5 linked regions of the Oryzias latipes genome follow. The protein of the gene in region 1 interacts with the protein of each later gene in a pairwise test. Links are inferred from orthologs where the notes say so. Each region holds a gene or a part of one and is shown on either strand. Other genes may lie near its edges.

The links.
Region 2: the proteins of bend7 (region 1) and lyar interact in binary tests that used the Homo sapiens proteins (3 or more experiments, as listed by UniProt). The two-hybrid records come from large-scale screens. The link is inferred for Oryzias latipes from reciprocal best matches to the Homo sapiens genes BEND7 and LYAR.
Region 3: the proteins of bend7 (region 1) and psmf1 interact in a two-hybrid assay, tested with the Homo sapiens proteins (2 studies listed by BioGRID and IntAct). The two-hybrid records come from large-scale screens. The link is inferred for Oryzias latipes from reciprocal best matches to the Homo sapiens genes BEND7 and PSMF1.
Region 4: the proteins of bend7 (region 1) and eaf1 interact in binary tests that used the Homo sapiens proteins (3 or more experiments, as listed by UniProt). The two-hybrid records come from large-scale screens. The link is inferred for Oryzias latipes from reciprocal best matches to the Homo sapiens genes BEND7 and EAF1.
Region 5: the proteins of bend7 (region 1) and eif1ad interact in binary tests that used the Homo sapiens proteins (3 or more experiments, as listed by UniProt). The two-hybrid records come from large-scale screens. The link is inferred for Oryzias latipes from reciprocal best matches to the Homo sapiens genes BEND7 and EIF1AD.

What each region holds. Positions count from the first base shown.
Region 1 is NC_019864.2:20,635,886-20,639,875, forward strand, and holds the start of bend7 (BEN domain-containing protein 7), read right to left. Parts: upstream 2,808-3,990; 5' UTR 2,535-2,807; coding exon 2,471-2,534; intron 2,107-2,470; coding exon 2,041-2,106; intron 1,963-2,040; coding exon 1,609-1,962; intron 1,435-1,608; coding exon 1,318-1,434; intron 1,242-1,317; coding exon 889-1,241; intron 450-888; coding exon 342-449; intron 1-341.
Region 2 is NC_019863.2:16,779,150-16,783,133, reverse strand, and holds the start of lyar (cell growth-regulating nucleolar protein), read right to left. Parts: upstream 2,808-3,984; 5' UTR 2,470-2,807; coding exon 2,348-2,469; intron 1,193-2,347; coding exon 1,078-1,192; intron 1,001-1,077; coding exon 893-1,000; intron 792-892; coding exon 711-791; intron 516-710; coding exon 212-515; intron 102-211; coding exon 33-101; intron 1-32. Other genes in the region: zbtb49 (zinc finger and BTB domain-containing protein 49), read left to right, coding at 3,503-3,654, 3,749-3,984. UniProt on the Homo sapiens protein: Plays a role in the maintenance of the appropriate processing of 47S/45S pre-rRNA to 32S/30S pre-rRNAs and their subsequent processing to produce 18S and 28S rRNAs. Also acts at the level of transcription regulation.
Region 3 is NC_019863.2:32,757,105-32,761,383, forward strand, and holds the start of psmf1 (proteasome inhibitor PI31 subunit), read left to right. Parts: upstream 1-1,474; 5' UTR 1,475-1,579; coding exon 1,580-1,708; intron 1,709-2,224; coding exon 2,225-2,371; intron 2,372-3,488; coding exon 3,489-3,571; intron 3,572-3,738; coding exon 3,739-3,927; intron 3,928-4,260; coding exon 4,261-4,279. Other genes in the region: pigu (phosphatidylinositol glycan anchor biosynthesis class U protein), read right to left, coding at 578-707. UniProt on the Homo sapiens protein: Plays an important role in control of proteasome function. Inhibits the hydrolysis of protein and peptide substrates by the 20S proteasome. Also inhibits the activation of the proteasome by the proteasome regulatory proteins PA700 and PA28.
Region 4 is NC_019874.2:26,172,719-26,176,797, forward strand, and holds the start of eaf1 (ELL-associated factor 1), read right to left. Parts: upstream 2,807-4,079; 5' UTR 2,661-2,806; coding exon 2,558-2,660; intron 1,209-2,557; coding exon 1,114-1,208; intron 779-1,113; coding exon 642-778; intron 515-641; coding exon 342-514; intron 183-341; coding exon 1-182. Other genes in the region: mettl6 (methyltransferase-like protein 6), read left to right, coding at 3,256-3,528, 3,922-4,056. UniProt on the Homo sapiens protein: Acts as a transcriptional transactivator of ELL and ELL2 elongation activities.
Region 5 is NC_019868.2:26,091,213-26,095,259, reverse strand, and holds eif1ad (probable RNA-binding protein EIF1AD), read right to left. Parts: upstream 2,810-4,047; 5' UTR 2,649-2,809; intron 2,185-2,648; 5' UTR 2,153-2,184; coding exon 2,066-2,152; intron 1,944-2,065; coding exon 1,835-1,943; intron 1,029-1,834; coding exon 920-1,028; intron 852-919; coding exon 638-851; 3' UTR 273-637; downstream 1-272.

The sequences.
Region 1 (3,990 bases):
TTCTGGGCGGGCCACAAGCTTTTGAGCAGCGGAGATGGGAAGTGGGGCGGGGTTTCTCACAGCCACAACTCAGAAGCACATTTTTAATGAACTACTGCCGCTCTGCAAAAATAATTTCCACGAAAACAACGCAGGTATTTTGCATTAAGGCTAAAAACTGCATAATCATAATTAAAAGACCATTGAGAATGCTTTTAAACAGCTCAAAAGATGATCAAAGTGAGCCTTTCAACAGAAAATTGCCAGATATTTTGGGATCAAAAAATGGAAATAGTCATTTAAAAAATAGAAACTAAAAATAACACAAAAAAAAGAGGGCTCCAAATTAGCTGAATGCATACCAGTTTGCGAAATAGGAGACTGCCAGAGCGGGTGTAGTTGACCAAGATGGAATCTAGCTGAGCTTTAGATATAAACACGTCGTATTCCTCTGCAAGACGGACCTCACTCTGTGATGGAATACAGAACAAAACAATTAGTCGTTCCAAAAATTAAACAGAAATGAACAACTGAAATTCAGAACTGGGTTTAAGAACTGAAGTCAAAAAGGTTGAGACTTCATTGTACAACAATACATTAAGGTCATTTTACATGGCTCAATAAAGATAAAGTTTACACCAGGTGTAACTCAGAAAGAAGCCAGTCTCATGACATTTTGCTTGGAGTCTGTTTAGTCTTTACAGAAATTTTAGATCTTGTGTGTCTTGTAAAAAGTTCTAAAAAAAGCAACTTTCTTATTCTGTTCAACAATTTATATCAATTACTTTACATTTTTGTTTTTTGATAAATTTAGCAAAACATTAAACTTAAATCAACAAACTAAACAAAGTCTAAACTTTCTAAGAAATTTTGCAACAAACTTTACAGAGAAACAAATTAAGGTTTTACCTCTGATGCTTGAGTTTCTTTTGGTTGGCTTAAGGTAGGATTATGAATTTTGCTCACTATTCCTGAATCATTCTGTTGTGACTGTGCCGAAATATCAGGGGAAATGGGATGCATGTTCAGCACTGACGAGTCCAGTTTCTCACATTTTTCCCTCTTTGCAGATTCTGCTGGTGGTGCAGCTTGATGCGCTGAACTTTCCACAGGAGAAAGAACAACTTTTTTACTGCTGGAGACAGTAAGAGGCGCCACCCTGTAGTAAGACTTTCTTTTTCTGTGAAGACTGCGCGGAGTGGAGCCCAGGCTAAAGCGAGGTTGGCATACTGGTGTTGCTTGTTGATGCTTTCCAAAGGATGCTAAATAAATGAAAGACAAAAACCTGTTATGCCTTCTTTATGTTTATCCCAGTGCAATTTGGCCACATTTTCTGACCTTTCTGAGTCTGCATCAGCCTCCTCATGGCACGCAATTCCTGCAATATAGCCTCTAGAGTGCCTGTACAGTTACACATACAGCACGAGCTTTCTTGGACTGCAGGTTGCGCCACATCTGGAAATGCAGAGGTGCTTTAATGAGTGATACGATCCATGCAAACATTGGCAAAGTGGACTTTCTGACTGGAAAAAAATGGTTGAATTGCTGTCTTTGATTTACTAAATGTAAAAAAAACCCTACTTTAATGTCAATTTTAATAGATTTTTCACAGATTGTTTATTGTTTTACCATTTTGTTCATTGGTTTTGCTCACATCCTTGGTTTTGTTGAAAATCCTGAGGGATCTGGAGCGAGTGCTGTACTGGCCATAGTTTGGACCATTGGGGACAGGTATAGATGGGGATGGCACAGAAAGCTCTGAGTGTCCGGTTGACAGCCAGCTGTTGCCTTGATGGTCATCTGGTACCACAGACAGGAATGGAGGCTGGTGAATCCAACTCAGATGCTTATCCTGGGAATCATTTGTTGTGCCGTCACAATCTGCAACAACACGCTGATACACTCGGCCAGTCTTGTCCCTCAGAAGCCTCATCATTCCTGTGATTTGCCTCTTGATCTCAACACCTTCATCTTCCAGCCAAACTGCATTGAGGAAAAATGGGTGTGGGCGCAGGTATAGAAATGGTAAAGTGACAAATCAATGCTCAATCTGACACATACCATCAGACACAACTGCATCTTTAGTTTTGCCATCCTTGCTGCTGGAATTCAGTGAAGAATCATGGTCTGCAAGTAAAACAAAAGGTTGTTGCTGTAAACTTGTGTAAAAAAGCCGCAATGACTGTCAACAAAAGCAGACACCCCCACCCCCCTTCCCATCTCATGCAGAAACCACCACCTGTAGGTTGTATGAAGTAGTTTTCGAGAGAGGCTGCAGCTTTAAAAAAGGTGAACATCCTGCGCTCCTGTTCTGGATGTGCAACAGATCAGAACATCCTTCATTGTCACGATCCACATAGAAGCTGGGGATGACGATTTGAACCCTCCAAACCCAGACATGCCGTGGCCGCCGCTTTTGTTTACGCGCACAGCAGCAGACACACAGCCAGCCAGCCAGACACGCGTCTCCTGCATCCATTCAGCAGCTTACCTTCATCTGCGACCAGTTTGAAGCTTTGCGACTTCCTCCTTCTCCTTCTTTCTCCAAATTCCATCTTTTTCCCGCAGGTCGAGCTGAAATACGCCGTTCAGAACGACCAGCCAGGGACCGAAACCCTGAGTGGAATCACCGTCTGTCCGTTTGCCTTATTAAACAGTTAAATTTCCTCCCAGTCAGCGCGTCCGATCCTTTCACCAGCAGATTCCCAGCCCGAAAAACAGAAGAATATTGTTGAGTGGATCCATTTCCCCCGATATTACTACCCCGACCCTCCCTCTGGTCATGTAAATGAATTGATGATTTTAATATAAGAATTGGTTATATCCCTTTGCGCCACCTGATGGCATGTTTCATTAAAAAGGTCGGCACATATTTGCCAGTCACTTCAGACAAAAGCCAGCGTTTAAATAAAGGCGGTCTAAACCCAAATCGTTGTTTTTCATTTCTCTTCCCCAATTAAATATCCTCTATTTGGTTTAACGGCAATGATAAAAAAAAGACAACTGAAAGCCGGACATTCGACAGCTGGAGCAGAAAACTCAAAAATATAGATAAACGTAATAAATAATGCCAAACAATAAAAGCACTTTGGGTGACCCGAGTTGTAAAGTGCTATAAGTAAAGCTTGATTTGATTAGAAAAATGAAACTTTTGAAAAAGTGAATGAATGAATACACTTACTCTGTTTTAAAGCAGCTGACATACCACAGGATTTCAATTTGACAAAAAAAAAACCTTTTAGAAAAGTAGCTCAAATAATAAAGAGATTTCTTTGGCTTTGGTTCGCAGTATAGTTTTCTGAATTCATCATTTAGAACTTAAAATTATTTGTTTTAATTTGGGCTTTCAGGCTTTTTGAGTTATTGTAAATGGGATGTTCATATCAGCCAACACTTCTTTTTACCTTATGGACAAATGATGGACACAATGAAACAAATAGAAGCAGCAAAAACCCACGTGACTTACTAGCCGATCTAGCAGGGTCTGCAACACAATATCAAAGCAGGAATGGACAAGAACGACCACCATTAAACGAGATAGATTGTGTATAAAGTTTGACAAAAATAAACAGTTTTATTAATTCGGATTGCACGATTTCTAAGTTACTTTCAATCAAGTTACTTCAACACAGATGAAGTAAAATTGCCCCCCCCCGGTCTCCAAAAGATGAACTAAACTGGCTTAACATTTAAATAAATGAGATTGACTAAAAAATAGTTCTAAATAGTTGCCATTATCTTACGGAACCCGTAACGTTTCGCCAATTTTTGTGACAAAGTTTAACACAAACAAGCTGTGGTTTGCTAGGACAAAAACGGAATTTTGTTAAGGAATAATTTAAAAGTTCTCTCTCTCAAAGCTTTCTAGCTTTGTGGTTGTTGTTTTCATATCCTTGCTTCATGTTGCTTTTTTTTCATAATAAATGTGTTTTTTTTAAATGATGGTTTCAAACCTTTCCATTTTTTAGCTGGAATGTTTAAATTAAAACTTTGAAAATAAAACAGATGAAA
Region 2 (3,984 bases), on another chromosome or scaffold:
CACTGGGTTAAGTCAGTCTAGAGTTAACTTACCCAGAGGAACAGCTTGATCTTCAGCCTCATTTGACATCTCAGCATCATTAGCCTCTGCTGCAACCTTAACTGGAAAAAAGGTTGAAAGAAAACAGGAACACAGGCCTTAAACACAAAAACCATCCTTTTTATCAAACAAACAAAAAAGTGTTGTAATAAGAAAAAAAAATGTTATTTACTCCTTTTCTTGGCAGATATCTCATTTTCATCACAGTTTTGCTCTTCATCTTCTGCTTCTTTGTGTTTTCTTTTTCCATCCTTTTTCCTTTTCCCTGTTTGGCTTTCTTTCTGCTCTTGTGTGACTTGTTCGTCATATAGTTTTGGAGCTTTTCCGTTGTTCTGCTGCCGGGCCTCTTTGCGTTCTCTTTTGTTCATCTTTTTGTTTTTCTTCACATCTTCGTGGCCAAACGGAGTTTGAGTTCCATTAGTGTTTGCTTGGACTTCAGCTTCTTTCTCCATGTGCTGCTGTGTATCTTCTGGAACCTGGGGTGCAAAAGATTACAGATAAGCAAAACAACAGTACAGTGAAAGAATGAACGGTATTACACAACACTTAATACATTTCCAGCCCTTAAATATCACATTAATATTATTTTCCATTGATTTCCATTAAAGCTTAGGCTCCCCAGCTAATAATTTAGTGTAATATTTACTTTAACAAACAAAACAGCTACTTACATCGACGGCAGCAGCAATTATGTTCCACACTTCCTCGTGTAGGCTTGTGTTGGATATTTTTAGACTGTTTTTCATCCAGTTCTGAAAGAAGAAAAAACATTAACAGTAATAAGTAAATACACATTTTAATAATCTTCCTGGTAAAAGCCTAAACCCTTCTTACAAGTTTTGGTAACACCAACCTGAAACTTGGCTTTCTTCCTGGGGACATTGTCGTATGCACTGACTTGCCTGAGCACATCTCTCAGCTTGGGACTGATGCTTGATTTGTTCAGGGCTTCATGGATTCTCTTCAGGAAAAGACACAAGTCAGGATCCAAAAGAAAAACAAATGTTCACATATAATCGAACTTGGGAAGATGTTTACCTGTAACCACTGCTGTTGTTTGACATCGCCTTTGTTTGCCTTGGCCTCGAAGCCTTTCCCCCCATACTTCTGGTCTTCACTGATACACTTAGTGTGATTTTTATAGTCGTCGTCCCTAGGTAATACGCAGAAAAGAGTCACATTGAATGCGTTACTTGGTCAGTCACAGAGCTCATTATGCGTTAGAATAGAGTATAAGAGAATAAATCTTTATTGATCCCACAAAAAGGAAATTTCCGTGTTACCATAGCTCTATTAAAAAACAGCAGATAGATAATAACTAATACTAAAAAATACACTTAAAAATGAAGAACAGTGATTATTCCCCAGTGTAGTGGCACTCTCTCTGTGTCTTTCTCTTGTTCCACCGTTTGACGTCTGTCCGGCAACTGTTATTTGAAACGCGAGTGAGACACGCAGAGAGAGTGCCACTACAATTTAGTCAAAAAACGATATCGCTTCCAACTTTCTCCGGCTTCAATCAACAATGAGTCTCACTAACAGCATCTCTGTGACGTAGGGTTTTTAATTGGAAGTTCAAACAATAATTATTTAAATTAACTATTAAATCAAAACAGTGCATTTGGCTCCAAAAATAACTATTAAATATAAACTGTGAATTTGGCTCCAACATCCAGTGTCTATGAGGTGTTGTAGAGTCTAGTAGCTAACAGAAAGAAAATTCTGTGACAAGGTGTTGAAGTCCATGGTTTCATGCTGAGGATGATGATGAAGAGGATTGTCCATGATGCATTTCAGTTTCTGTAACATCGTCCTGTGACCCTCCACAGTCACAGACTCTATAAGGGACATCCAGAATGGAGTCGTATCTCCATACCAGTTTGTTGATCCTCTTCCTATGTCAGTTAGTGCATCCGCCACCGCCCCAGGACTTCGCCACAATAAAAAAAAATCTTAAGAGTCCTGTAAACTCTGAAGAGACCCCAGTCTCCTCAGCCTCTCCTTCGATCTCCGGTCACTTCTCTGGTGGAATTTTGTTGTTGCCAAGCAACAACAGCTGATCGATGCACCCGTATCCCACTTCAGACCCAGAAGTGGTGGGAAATAGTCAAATTAGGGCTAGCAGGCACGTGACAACGCAAAAGAAGCCCAAGGCAATCAAAATCAGTTTAGAGAAAGAAACAAATCAAGTAAGCCTACAGGGCACTACGGTAACCTGCAGCCTAGTACCATGGCACCGGTTGGAGGAAAAACAAACTTGTTCCCGACGATATTTTGTAATGTTTAGAAATAACCCAATTGGTCTTACCAGAAATCTTTTCCGCAGTCAATGCAGGACAACACCTGACACCCACGGCAGATGTTCACGTGTTTATCGACCTGGGCTTTTTTCAGAGACTCGCCACACGCATTGCAGGTGAAGAACACCATTTTGATCAATTTTATCCACAGAAGCAACCTTTCTCTAAATTAATAAAGACAATATGTAGATTAAACCAGCAAAACGACAGAAAGTTAAACCACTTTAAACACCATCAATTAATGCACTGACTAGAGACCTGCCTACGGCAAGCTAACGTTTTTTCTAGTAAGTTATAAAAAACGCATGACAAAGAACAAAACCTTCATTGTCTTTAAAAATACCCAAAAATTAGAGCCCGTTAAATTAACCTCTTTAAAATTTTAATTTGAGCGTAAACGTGCGGGTTGAGTTTCTCCCGTCTAAACTTTTGAACAGACACGTGATTACATTCCTTGAAGCTACAGTCTTGATTCTCCGTATAGAAATTTTAACTAGACACCAGTTCCGCAGACCTTTTTTTTTCTTCCTGAAAACCTTTTTTTACATTTCATAACACAAAATAATTATACTACAAAGAGGTATATTTACGATTTCAACAGCACTTTAGAAATGTATATAGTCCCACTGTTTGGGGGTTTAGTATAAGATGTATTTCTTTCCCACGAGGGGTACAAAATAAGCGTTGTACCAGGAAGTTACGTAATGTTATTAAGCGCGAGTGACCCGTCATCCCAATAAAAGACGAAACACTTCACAATGATTTTGGGACCCCTCTGAATGGATATCGACAATAGTAAAATAATATATATAAATAAACACCTTTATAATTAAGACAGGTCAGCTGTTTATTTATTAGTTGTCATTGTAAATGGCTCGAATAGCCACGCTGTTAGCTTAGTAGCAGGTCAAATTTTTGCATGGACGGTCTTGTAGCGATTCTTGAGCTACATGACAGTTATTTTTGAAAAAATATATATATATATTTATACATGGACTGCGGTGTGTGGCTCACTACTAGAGTTCAACCCTTTAATCAACTTTTACTTTTGACTCGTAATCAACTTTTACTTTTGAGTCGTGTAAACTCAGGCTGTTGTTGTTGTTTTAAATGTGATTTTTGTGTGTTTCGCTTTGAAAAGGGGGGAAGCTGAGTGATCATAAATGGAGACCCTGTCCAGCCACAGCTCCTACCTCCTACAGCAGCTCCAGGAGCAAAGAATCCAAGGGCTGCTTTGTGACTGCATGCTGGTGGTTAAAGGAGTCTGTTTTAAAGCTCACAAAAACGTTCTGGCTGCTTTTAGTTCCTACTTTAGGTACTTTTATGCATTTATTTGACAACAGAATATCCACATGAGGTGTTGCTGTGAACCCTAAGAGATATGACCATTTTTTACATTTGTTTTTCAGGTCTTTGTTCCAAAATTCTCCCAGTCAGAAGAATGACGTCTTTAACTTGGTTATCCAAGATGTCAGTGGCATTGGCCAAATATTGGACTACATGTATACATCCCACCTGGACATTAACCAAGAGAATGTACAGGCACTTCTAGACATAGCACAGAACTTACAAGTTCCAAACGTTCAGAATTTGTGTAATGCTTTCCTCAAACCTTGCCCCCCACCCGTGGAAATGCATTCCTTCA
Region 3 (4,279 bases), on another chromosome or scaffold:
GCTCCATGCCAACAGGCAACTCAGAGGAGAGGTGGATTTCTACTGAACTCCAGCTGCTCTGCAGAAACTATGTCCTAGAAAAAGACAGGATTTTGGGCTAAAAACGGCATCATCATCAGAAACAAACGACCGGGAACAATCTGACAACAGATCAGATGATCAGGAACATGGATGAACCCAAACATGTTCTTCATCCATCAGAACCTGCAGGACAACCCAACAGCTCCTCTGCAGAACCTCCTGTCGTTACTTTGACTGAAGTCACTTTCAGTTAATGAAGGCGTTACAGCTCTGACAGTGTCATATTCAAATGTAATAGATTACTTGTACGAGTAACAATCGATGATAATAATCAGAGATGAGTTCCTTCAGTTCGGGGTTTTTTTGGGGACCAAAAATCGGATCAGAGTCCGAGTCTGACACCGTTTCACCTTCGTCGACCATTCTCCAAACATTTACAGATTTCTTTTGTGACAGATTTTGTCGCCGAACCGGTTTACCGGCGCAGCGGGGAGGCGCGCGGGTGCGAGGCGTGTGTGACCGGTGCGCTCCGGACCCCCGCCGGCGGCCCGCTCACCTCTTTTCCAGGCAGTAATCGGTGACACCACCTCCACCCTCTCTGAAATCAGCTCCGCCAAACTGGACCGGAATAGAACGGCACGGACCGTCACGGCGACAATCATTAGGAGCGTCAAGGGAGCCGCCATCTTCGCGAGGAAGCTCTCTCGCCCTGCGCTCGAGGTGCATGCTGGGAAGTCAAGTTTATTCCGTCTCGTCAGGAAAACATTTACCTCCAACCTCCACAGATTTACAGTCCAAGCAGCGATAAGGAGCGAGTTTAATAATAATAATAATAATAATAATAATAATAATAATAATAATAATAATAATAATAATAAAGGAACATATTTACAAAAAGACTATTTAAAACGCATAATTCAAGCAATTAAAATCAAGATTAGAATTTTGTTTTAATCAAATATTGTATTTAATTTTATGTGTAAAGGTAAATAAACACATTTTAAACAACTTGAAAAGGAGTTTAATCTCAACAGAGGAGTTTTCATATGATCTTGTTGTTAGTTCTAATTTTGCATATGCTGAATATACATAAAGACGCTGTAATTTTAAACAATAATATAGCACATATTACAGGCGTTTTTCTTTAATCACCCCGGAATGCGGAATGTTTTGTCATTTGCGTGTTTTCAGTCGAAAGATTTATGTGACGGATCAAAACAAAACTGCAACTCGCCGTCTAGTTGGAATAAACTATTTTACTGTTTCCGGGGGCGTATTTAAAAATAAAATAAAATTAACGCTTTTGTGGGCCTGTGTTAGCGTCACGTTGAAGTAGATTATCGTTGTTCGTTTTAAAAATATCTGATTACTAAATTGTGACTGTATCACGTCTACAATACTATTTTAGCGTGTCGTATGTGTTTTCTGCAATCCTCTAAAAGCCACGTGCTTTTACTTTGAAAATCCCTGCAGGAAGTCGCTGTGGTTGTTATGGAAGCGACGACTCTGCGATTTTTGTTTTCTGTTCTTGTTCTGTGCTGTTGGTTTGTGAGACAACATGGCAGGCTTGGAGGTGTTGTACACCTGCGTCACAGGTAGCCTGACTTGTCCTCAGGACGCCCTCGTGTGTTTCGTTCACTGGGAAATGATCAAGGGAGGATACCGGTGCATCGGTTCCGGAGACGAGGTGGGTCGAACTAGCTAACTTAAGCAGAACCAGAAGAGACAAACCAACAACACATTCTGGTTTTATTTAAACACATTTAAGATACGAGACGAACCAAGTTAATGCTGTTTGTTTACTTTTAGATCGTAGTTTGTTGACAGCCTCTGAAGTCCCTCTGAGTTACAGTTTTGATTTAAACTCTCAGTCTGTGGGAATAAATGTTAGCTTTGCTACATTAGCAGGAGGATCAGGATGGAAACTGAAACTGTCCTGCAGGCGATTCAGAGGAAACCTCCGCTGAGTTGGTTCTTCTTCCTCCATCTAGGTGACCTTTGACCTCCTAAAGTTCTGCATTGAGTCATGTTTTAGTCCGATTTTTAGTCTCGTGCAGTTGGCACGCGCCATTTGGTCTCATACTAAACAAATGGACTTTCCGCAAAAAGTGTCACGTCATCTTTAGCGCGGGGGGGGGGGCACAGAAGCGTTTGAAAGAGAGGGTGTCTCACCCCCCCCCCCCGCCCCCGTCCCTCCCCCCAGCCCCGCAGCGGTGACCGGAAGTCGGAGCTCCTGCCTGCAGACTGGAGCAGCAACAAGGAGCTGTACAGTCTCCGCTACGAAGGCGCGGACGCAAAGATGCTGCTGAAAGCCGTCCCCGTGGACTCTGCTGTGATATTCAACCTGATGGTAGGCATGGGGGGGGGTCCTTCAGGACATGAGGGGGTGGGCACTCTGCTGGAATGAGGGAGAACGAAGCATTAAATGCAAAAAGTCTGCAGCGAACCTCACATCTGAGACGACAGAGAAACAAATCTGAAATTTAAAAACACAGAGGCCGCTTTTAGGTTTCATGGCAACATTTGGCTCGTTTTAGAACATCAGACGTGTTTTGATGATGTAGGGAGCACACAAAGGCGTTATTTATCATCTCAGAACTGTTGAAAGGTGAAGATTTAGTGGAATAGCTTCAAATTAAAAAAATAGAGAGCAGTCAGAGATTTTAACAAAGGTTTTCTGAATGAAGATCAGATGGCTTTAGGTTTGAACTTTGATGGTTTTCTTTTATTTTGATTTCCCAGCAGAAGTTCTGAAAAGGTCTTCAAAAAGAAACTTAAACTAGAAGGAGCTGCATTTCTAGAAGAAAATGCCGGTTAAATGCTGTACTGCTGAATGAAAATGAAACTTAAAGGGGAATAACGGGCAAAAAATAAAGAAATGATCAAAGTTGACCATAAATAAAGTGAAAACAGCACAATAACAAAAATGTTTGTGAAAAATGCCAGAGCCGGGTATCAAACCAGCGAGCTTCTGCACCAAGGATTCCCCATTTATTTAAATGGAGGCAGAAATCCTGGAATATCTGGAAAAGTTCAAGGATTTGAAGGACCAAAAGTCACAGCTGGAAAAAGCTGAAAGAGCCGAACATTTGAATAGATGGATGGTTGAAATAGATGAGTAACTGTAGAAGATAAGCTGCAAAACATGGCTGAAGATACTAGAATAAAGAGAAACAGGAAAACAATAAATATTTCTGAAGCAGAAACCTGGTGAATATATTATGTGTAGTTGTGCAGTGAGTCGGTACAGCCCTCTGTCTGTTTCTTCAATCTTTATTATGGTGGCATGTTATTTTTCTGTTCCGTTCACGTCCTGCAGACATGTGGACTCGTGTTGTATTGAACATGAGTCCACGCGTCACGAACGTCACAGAAACTCTGAACAATCGTCGTTCAGAAATGCTGACGTCAGATTCCAGCTGAAGGTAACGGCGGTGTGACGGCGTCTGCTTTCTGTGTGTCTGAAGAACTGCAGCACGCAGCAGGTGACCGACCTGACCGTGAACATGAAGGATCACGTGGACGCCGACCATCTGGACACGTTTGACAGGTCGGTGTAAAAAAACGTCCCCCACAGGAATCAGCAGTTCTTCCTGTTTTCAGTCCCTCAGGGTCACAGAGTCACAGGTGAGGAGGGCAGACCATAAGAGCTGCGGGTGCAGAGGTAGCAACCCTGAATCTGGATGAAATGATTGACTGAAGGCTTTTATTCTGAAGGGTTTTCATAAATGGAGACGGTTTGTCAGAGAAGGTGAGGGCTCAGCTGCTGCCCCCCCAGGAGAAGAAAGCAGGGAGGAGGAGTTTGCGGGAGGATGAGGACGAAGCAGGAGGAAGGAGGAGGAGAGAGGAGGACGACCCTCTACGCATTCCCAGCAGACGTCCTGGTCCGGGAACGCAGCATCCATGGTTGGGAAATTCTGGCATTGATTTGATCACAGCGATGGGATAAAGAAGTCTTTATTCTCTCTTTCTAGAATATTTCTATATTCTGAAAGTTAAAAGAAATGACGTTAAAGTAAAAATCAGGAATAAATTCCTGTTATTTTCTCACAGAACTGAATGAGTTGTTAGATCCGTCTGAACTTTAAAGGATAAAAGCAGAAACAAGTCTATCTAAAGATGAGCTTTTATTTTGAAAGGTTTATTCTGTCAGGAAGGAAACAGTCATCACGGATGCTGTGCTGCTCCTGATGAAGGTGAGGTGATTCTTCATCATTTGATGAACGCTTTGTTTTTCAGGCGTGAGCCTGCAGTTCCG
Region 4 (4,079 bases), on another chromosome or scaffold:
CATCCCTCCGTTGGCCATGGGGTTGCGGCTGGGGGAGTTCTGGCTGAGCGGCCGGGGAGCATCGCCCTCGCCGTCGCTGCTGCTGCTGTCGTCGCCGCTCCCCGAGGAGCTGGCTGAGTCTGAGGAGCTGCTGCTGCCGCTGCTGCTCATCTGTTCAATCATCTCCACCTCTGCCCGCAGCTCTGTCGACAGCAGCAAGATCAGCATTTCATATTTCAAGGTCTTGTCTTTTTTTGTACTCACATTTGTCCAAATGTTTTTCATTCTTTGTCATCTTTAGCAGGGTTTTTTCTGAGAAATCATGACTTTGTAAAACACCAACAGTGCAGGAACCTCCTCACCTCTCTTAATGTCGTCCAGCTGAGGCTCTGGAGAGGGGTTGTCCTTAGATGGGGATGGGGATGTTTTGATCCCAGTTCCCGGCTTGGTTGGGGCTCGGAACTGAGAGCCGGGCTGGCTGGAACGAACCGACTGCTGCTCAATCCGAGCCTGGATCTTACTGCTGCCCTCCGCTCTGTTCGCACAGATACATACATCAGCCAACTTTTCCTCATCTTGAGCAATTTAAAGATCTTATAGACAATACACATCTACTACCCAAAGTCAGCAGGACTCTGGAAACCAGGACACTGACATCCCACCTTGTTTTCTTAACCTGGATGCTGCTGCTGAGCTTCTCCAGTACAAATTCGCCCGTGTCATGATTAATGATGAGCACGCAATCCTTTTGATACGGTCGCTTGTTTCCTTTAAATACTGTCATTGGAGGTGTGGAGCCCTGAAAGACAAAGAACAGGTAGTTGCAGTTTTATGTATTTAAAGCTTGGAAAAGGGCCCTTTTAGAAGGTTACATCAAAATCAAAAAAACTACATCATCTTGTTCAAGAGCAGTGTTATAGTGAAGATAAACAGACTTTTTCAGTCACAATTCTAGGATACATTCAGAACATAATTTTTTTAGACACATGATTGCTTAGATTTTTTGACTGCACTGTGACTGATCAAAACAGCTGTCAGACCTTTTTGTGACAGAAAACATGAGTCAGCAGAGATCAGGCAGATCATGATGTGCATGCATCTCTGACCAGATTGTTAAAAAGAGGAAAGCCTTACTGGAATATGAGGTAACGTTATTGTAACTTCATCTCCTTTTCCGACCTGTAGCTTCCCTTCACAGCTGGTGTCAATCGATGCTGGTTTGAAGTCATCTGGAAATGAAATGTATCGAGTCAAATTTGTGTTCTCCCTGATTGCCTATTTTTTTATTTAGAGGGAAACACCGTGAACTGGCATTCACACATATATGGAATTATAATTACAGTTGGAGAATAACTACCTGGAAGGGAAAAACAACCAAAATACAAAAAAGCAATTACAGTAATTTCATACTAGCATAAGATGAAAAAAATAATGTGGGTTGTTTTCCCTGGCTGCATTTGTAATTCTATCAACTATAATAAATGAGATAAAATGCTAATTTAATACAGATAATTTTTTGTTCTGTACAAAACAAATTGAATATGTTTTATAACACTATAAATCAATTGCATTCAAAGTTTGAATTTAACATGACCACTTTCTCCGGAGAATGCCCCAAGGTGACTTTTACTGAGATCTAAAAGTGAACTAATGAGTAAATGGAATACTGTGACGCGGGGAGGTCAGTGTTTAAAATAGGACATCACATGCATCATAAAACCCTTTTACTACAACAGCTCTGTAACACGGATGGTTTCTCTCCCAAGTCCAGCCAAAGTCTATTTTGACACACAAGTTCAAAATACAACACAGGCTTTGACTCAAAGCAATTGAATCGTTTCTTTTTTTTGCATTTCTATTTTAATTTTTGTTTACATTTTTCAAACTGTCTTCACATAACTGGTCATGGAAACAATATGATTGAACCTGAGTGAATAACAGTATGAATTTTTTTAATAAAAGTAAACAGAAAAGCTTTTTAGTGTAAATAAAATGCAATTCCAAGCCTAGGCGTCACAATAAAAGTGTTTTGGTATCAATAATAAATCCTATATTGTGAAACATCTACTTCAAACATCTACTTCAATAAAGCAACACGAATCCTCTGAGAAAAACTGGATATCTCTAAATACCACACTGAACAAGAAACACGATGAAGACTATAAACCGTTGTCCCTGCATCCAGTTGTTTTATTCAGCATTTATGCCCCAACAATCCAGATTGTGTTTATTACAACAGATAGGATCTGCATTTTATTTTGAAGGAGAATTTCAATTGCCACTCCATGTGGAGCTGGAGGCTAAAAAATGAGTCCTGGTTGGAGGCAAATATAAAAAACTTGTTTCTCACAAAAAATTAGATAAACTTTGGTGTAGTAAAATAAGTATTGGGTAGTTAATAGCATAAAGTGTAAAAGCTCAACCAAAAAAACAAACTGCTTTTATCTTCAAATGACTGAAAAGTATTGAAGAGAGTCTTGGAGAGAGAGCCTCTACATTTACAGCAGATAACCAGCCGCACTCCAGAGTTTGTTAAGAACTTAAAGGTCTTGTAAACACAACGCGGTCTCACGCTCACATCGGATGGTGTGAAAGGAAGATTTTGGCCTCTTCTCAAAGCTTTCTCCGAGCTTCAAAACATGCTCCTCTTTGTCCAGCAGCGGGTTTGTACTACCGTTCATGGTTCAGTTTGTCTAAAAGTCTAACATTTACGTATATTGGTAATAAGAAGTGAGCTAACAGTCGCAACTGGGAAGAAACAGGATAATCCAACTGGAAGATAAAACTAGCTGCAGAAGCTAACAGTTAGCAAAACATCCCTGACGTCACTGTGCTCTCTTTTGATTTTGGTTCGACTATGAACTACCTCTAAGATCAGACGGCGGCAAAAACTGTGATAAAACTTGGTTGTCTTATTAAATGATAATTTGCATTTAGATTAGTTTTTTATCAAACAGAATTATTTTAGTACATTTTAGTTTCATAAACAATTTATATAAAAAGCCAGATGGCAACGCGGAATGCAATTACGTGCACTCATCGGAAGGATTTCGTGAACGTACACAACAGAGGAAATGAAAAGAATTGTTTGAAATTGAAGTAGGGTTTTTTATTGTAGATTTAGCTTATTCAACCTTTTATTTTATATTGTTTTATTGAAAACGTAATAAACTGCATAAATGTTCAGGAATAACAACTGAAAATGTCGTAAATTAATGACTTTGTACAAAGAAAGACGGAAAAAAATCTCCAAAAACTTTAAAGCAGCGTGGAAATATGATGAACCGAGCCGAAGATACCGAGTCTACGGACGACACACCAACATGCCTGTCCGGACAAACGAAAACATCTTCCTCCAGAGATTTAACCCAGGAGGAGCAGGGTAGATTCAAAACTGAGCGAGTTCTTGTATCTGAGTTCAAACAAATAAAACTGGAGAAAGAAGCTCGAAAAAACTGGGACTTGTTTTACAAAAGAAACGCCACAAATTTCTTCAAAGACAGACACTGGACAACCAGGGAATTTGAAGAACTCAAAGAGTGTCGTGAGGTAAGATTACTTTTATACATGGACTTACCAGTCTTCATCTGTTTCTATTTCTTGTTTTATACTCACAAAATAAATAATCTTCTATTTAACATGTAGAACATTCTATCTATCAAATAGGGATTTCTTTCTTCTTCTTCAGATTATTTATAAATGTTAAATTATCTAGTAATTACGCCATTTTTTAAAACCCTAAATCATATATTAATTAATAAATTAAAATATATTAATATGAATAATATATTCACATTAATTACTTAAATGTAATATTAAAATATTAAACTATACTCTATTTATGCTTCTTTAAAGTTTAAGATGCTGAAAAATATTGTAGGTCAGATGGCCAAACAAGCTTATTAAACTAATGTCCAGTTATTCTTGTGCTTTGCTTCACAGTTTGAGTCCCAGAAGTTGGTTTTGTTGGAAGCTGGCTGCGGCGTGGGAAACTGCCTCTTTCCTTTGCTGGAGGACGACCTCAACATATTTGTTTACGCCTGTGACTTCTCCCCACGAGCTGTTGAGTTTGTAAAAGTGAGGCATTTCCCACAACAACT
Region 5 (4,047 bases), on another chromosome or scaffold:
TTCAGTCTATAAATGTCACTCAATAAGGAAGCCTGACATTTTTAAAGAATGACACCAACAGCTTAGCTGTTGAAGAATAATTACAAATGTCATGAGTCATATTTTTTATGTCCTAAAAATTGGCTTCTCGGTGCCAGCAGGTACTTCCTGTTTGGAACGCGAGGGAGGAAGAGTTACTCAGTCCAACTGTCTAATACTGTTTATGGCTTCTCATTAAATAATCAGAACGCAACCAAAATCAAACATAACAAATCCAATCCAATGATTAAACATAATTTTTTAACAAATAGCATTTATTTGATTCCATTAGAGAAAATACGAGAACCGTCAGCAAAGATTTCCTGTTTGTCATAGAAACATGGCTCCATAGGAGATTTGCTGAAGAAGAAAAGCAGGAATGTGAGGAAAACAGCTGAAATTATCTCATCTGGATTCTTGCTGAGTTTCTATGATCACATAGAGACCGCTTCATGTGGAAACCATACATAAGGTTTCATAAAGTTCACTGAATGAGATCAACTCGCCAACAATCTGACCAGCAGGGGGAGCTGCTGCACAGAAGCCAACATTTGAAATCTTCCTAGATTCAGTCAGTCTGTGGTAATTATCAGTTCTCCATCGACCTTCATCGCTGCAGCTAAGAACCATTTTCAGTCACTGGTTTGTCCTCTTCATCAGTGTCGTCCTCCTCGCTCTCGCTGTACTGGTAGTTACATCGGTTTGTGTTTACAAAAAGGTCGCTGTCGTCCTCCTCGGAGCTGCATCCTTCCTCTTCCTCATGTTTTGTCTCCGCGTCCTCCTGACGCGTGTTTTCGTTATTGTGTGGCAGCTTCTCCGTGAAGCCCTCAGGCCTGGAGGGGAGCAGAGAGAAGCATGAGAGCCCGAAGCGACGCACACGTCCTTGTGTCTTCAAACTCACCAAAGCTGCTGTTTCTGAAGGTTCTGAATGTGATCTTTGTAGAGGATGAAGCTGATCTCCGCCTTCACCTTCTCTCCCTCCTCGATGGGATCCACAATCACGAAATCGCCTGAAAGTCGAGCCAAAAACACAAACCCCAAGAAAACGTATTTATAAAAATGACAGAATAATTGATTTCTATGACCAGTTTTTGCTGATCTAACTTCAGAATTTCATTACCTGTTCGTCTAAATTAAACAAGAAATTAAATTAATTTAGATTTAAAGGTTATAATATACTTTTAAGAGTTGTGGCTAAAATATGTAGTTTTTTTAGATGAGGAAAAACTGTTGTACTGTAATTTTTACATGAATACAGTTTGCTGAATAAATAAAAATAAAAAAAATAAAAAATGTAGGCAAAATTAATTTGTGATCATAATTTAAAAAGCTTTATTAGAAAATCTAAAAGTTAAATGCAAGTGGAACAATTCCAGACAAGAGTGTTTCCAAAAATGTGCTGATAGTTGATGTGCACAAACCCCCCTTAAACCAAAATGATGTCCAGATATTTAGGTTTGAAATACCTGAACATCGTTTTTATAAATCTGAAAATGTTCTTGCATTGGCATATCTTCCTTCTAGCCTGAAATCCAATCAGTTTTATGCACAGTTCTAATGTTCGAATGGTGTTGCCTCAACAGACAATAGGTCTTAAAACCAGGGAATTGAATCCAAGACTTCCATGTTATGAGGTTGGTTTGCTCTCCAACAGCCCCTCCTAAATGTATACAGTAAATCGACAATGTGTAGTTGCTTGTCTTTCAGCCTTAAGTCAAACCAAACACGTCTTTCTCTCCCAAAACCTTTTTTAGAGCAGTTTCAGGCATGTACATCTATAAACATCAGGAATAGTAACCGTTTTATAATCCCGTACCTCTCTTGATCCAGATGTTTTTCCGGAACTTGGTGGGCATGCTCACCAGGAAAGTCTCCCCCTGAGCCGTGACTGCTTCGTGCAGATTGTTGCCTCGACTTCCAACAACCTGAGGATGTGCAGTGGATGAAAAAAGGGAAGGAGGAAGTTTTTGTAAGATTGTTAACATTTTTTTACATTCCTGTTGATCTTTAATTATTAGGACAGTATTCTGCAAAACACTGAGTTCACCTTTACAATCTGCTGGTTTTCTGTCGGTGTGACAAAATCTCCAAGAACTTCCTTGACAACATGTTTGCGTTTGGTGGCCTGGGACATTATAGACAGTCAAGTGGTGCTTTGGTCGCCAGCTAACACAAAGAAAAGACAAAAAAAACTTAAAAATTGAATTTTTAGTATTCAAAGTTCAAGTTAAGATGCTTTTTGTTTTTTTTGTATGCGACACGATGTATAGTCTGAGGTTAAAATAAAGTTTGCTTCATTTAAATACAAAAGAGTTAATACTTTCCGAGGTGAGGGGGATCGTTGTGCGCATGTCAAATCAAATGTCCACCAAAAATTAGCAAAGCTAGCACTAGCACGGACAGAAATATCTCAAAACCCATTTCCAACCCATAAGGACGAAACTTACATAATTGGTAAGGGGAAAAGCATTATTATTATCATTGTGCAAGTTACCAAATATTTGTTTTTCCTTTAAGCTATATATACAATATATATATTGACATTCGAAATTTAAATCAATAATGCTAACGACTTAGCTGTGTAAGCAAACATTAGACCGTAACTTTTTTTCGTTCGTCGGTTTATTTACCTTGGAAAATAGATAATATTCTTTCAAAGTAGGATTTGAACCGGCAAAAGAAAAACTGAATAAAAACGGAGCAGAAATATTAGGACTTGAACAGAAGTTTTAGCCGTTTAGAGTCGCGTGCGGTTGTTAGTAAAAACACGGTGGAAGTAACCAAACACTTCCGGTATCACTGTTTGTGTGTTCAAAATAAAAGAACCTGTTTTGTTCACTTTAAATAGTAGTGCCTTTAAAAGGAATGATAAAACCCCATTAATGCTTGTTTCTTGTAAATAAGAATGAGTATAATCCTCCACATATCACAAATGTCACCAACATTTTTTTAAACTTTTTTTTTTGGTTTTGTTCAAACATGTTTCTTCTGAAACACCAATGATTACTTCCTGAAGTCTTGCCATGACCTGTAGGAAATGTAGTTTTTAGGCCATGAGTAACGTTCAAGATCACCAACATGACAAATTCAGATGTGCCAAATTAATGTCTTTTCTAGGTAAAAATTCACCATTGTAGACTGAAAAAGCGTAAACACTCTCCCTCTCTCTCTATATATATATAAAACTGAGGTTTTCGCCTTTTATATATATATATATCTATATATCTATATAGATATATCTATATCTATATCTATATCTATCTGCAATGGGAATGATTCCATATACACACATATATATATCTATATAGATATATATATGTGTGTATATGGAATCATTCCCATTGCAGATACTCTCCAACTGGATTGTTGATTTAGTCCAGGATTCCCCTTAAAGTGTGGAAAGACTTATGCTAAAGTTTATCAAGTACCATGTAACCCTTGTGCTATGCTAGGCACTTTAACGTTGGGAGTTGGGTCATCTAGACCCACTAGACACTTCTCTGAACCTTTTTTCTTCAATGATTTGTGATCTTCACTGGTGTCCATGGATTACAAGAAATCCTCTTCACCTTCATCCACTTTTGTCATAGTAGGGAGAACACATCAAAGTAAAACTGGGGTCATAGAATAGCACAAGGGTTTAATATAGGAAATCACTGAAATCCCTACAATAGTTTACCAAAGTCATAGTTAAAACCACCTCAATATCCAGAGGCACAAAAAGGTCAAAGAGCTACATAACAATTTATTAAATAATGGAGTGAACACATGTATGCATTTCTGGTATTGAATTTTATTTTTAATTATGCTCCAGAAAAAAACTTCCATACACAAGAGAATTAATGGTTCCAATCTCTTTATTTAGTTTTTGCCCATAATTCATCATTACAGCAGTCAAAATTGCATTTCAGGTGTGTAGTATTGTGTAGACCCCAGTAAAACCAAAGTACTAGTCTTTCAGGAACACAATAATACTTCAAAGAACTTCCAGTTAAGCTGAAGAGGCTTCAAGCTTTGGGCTCAGTCACT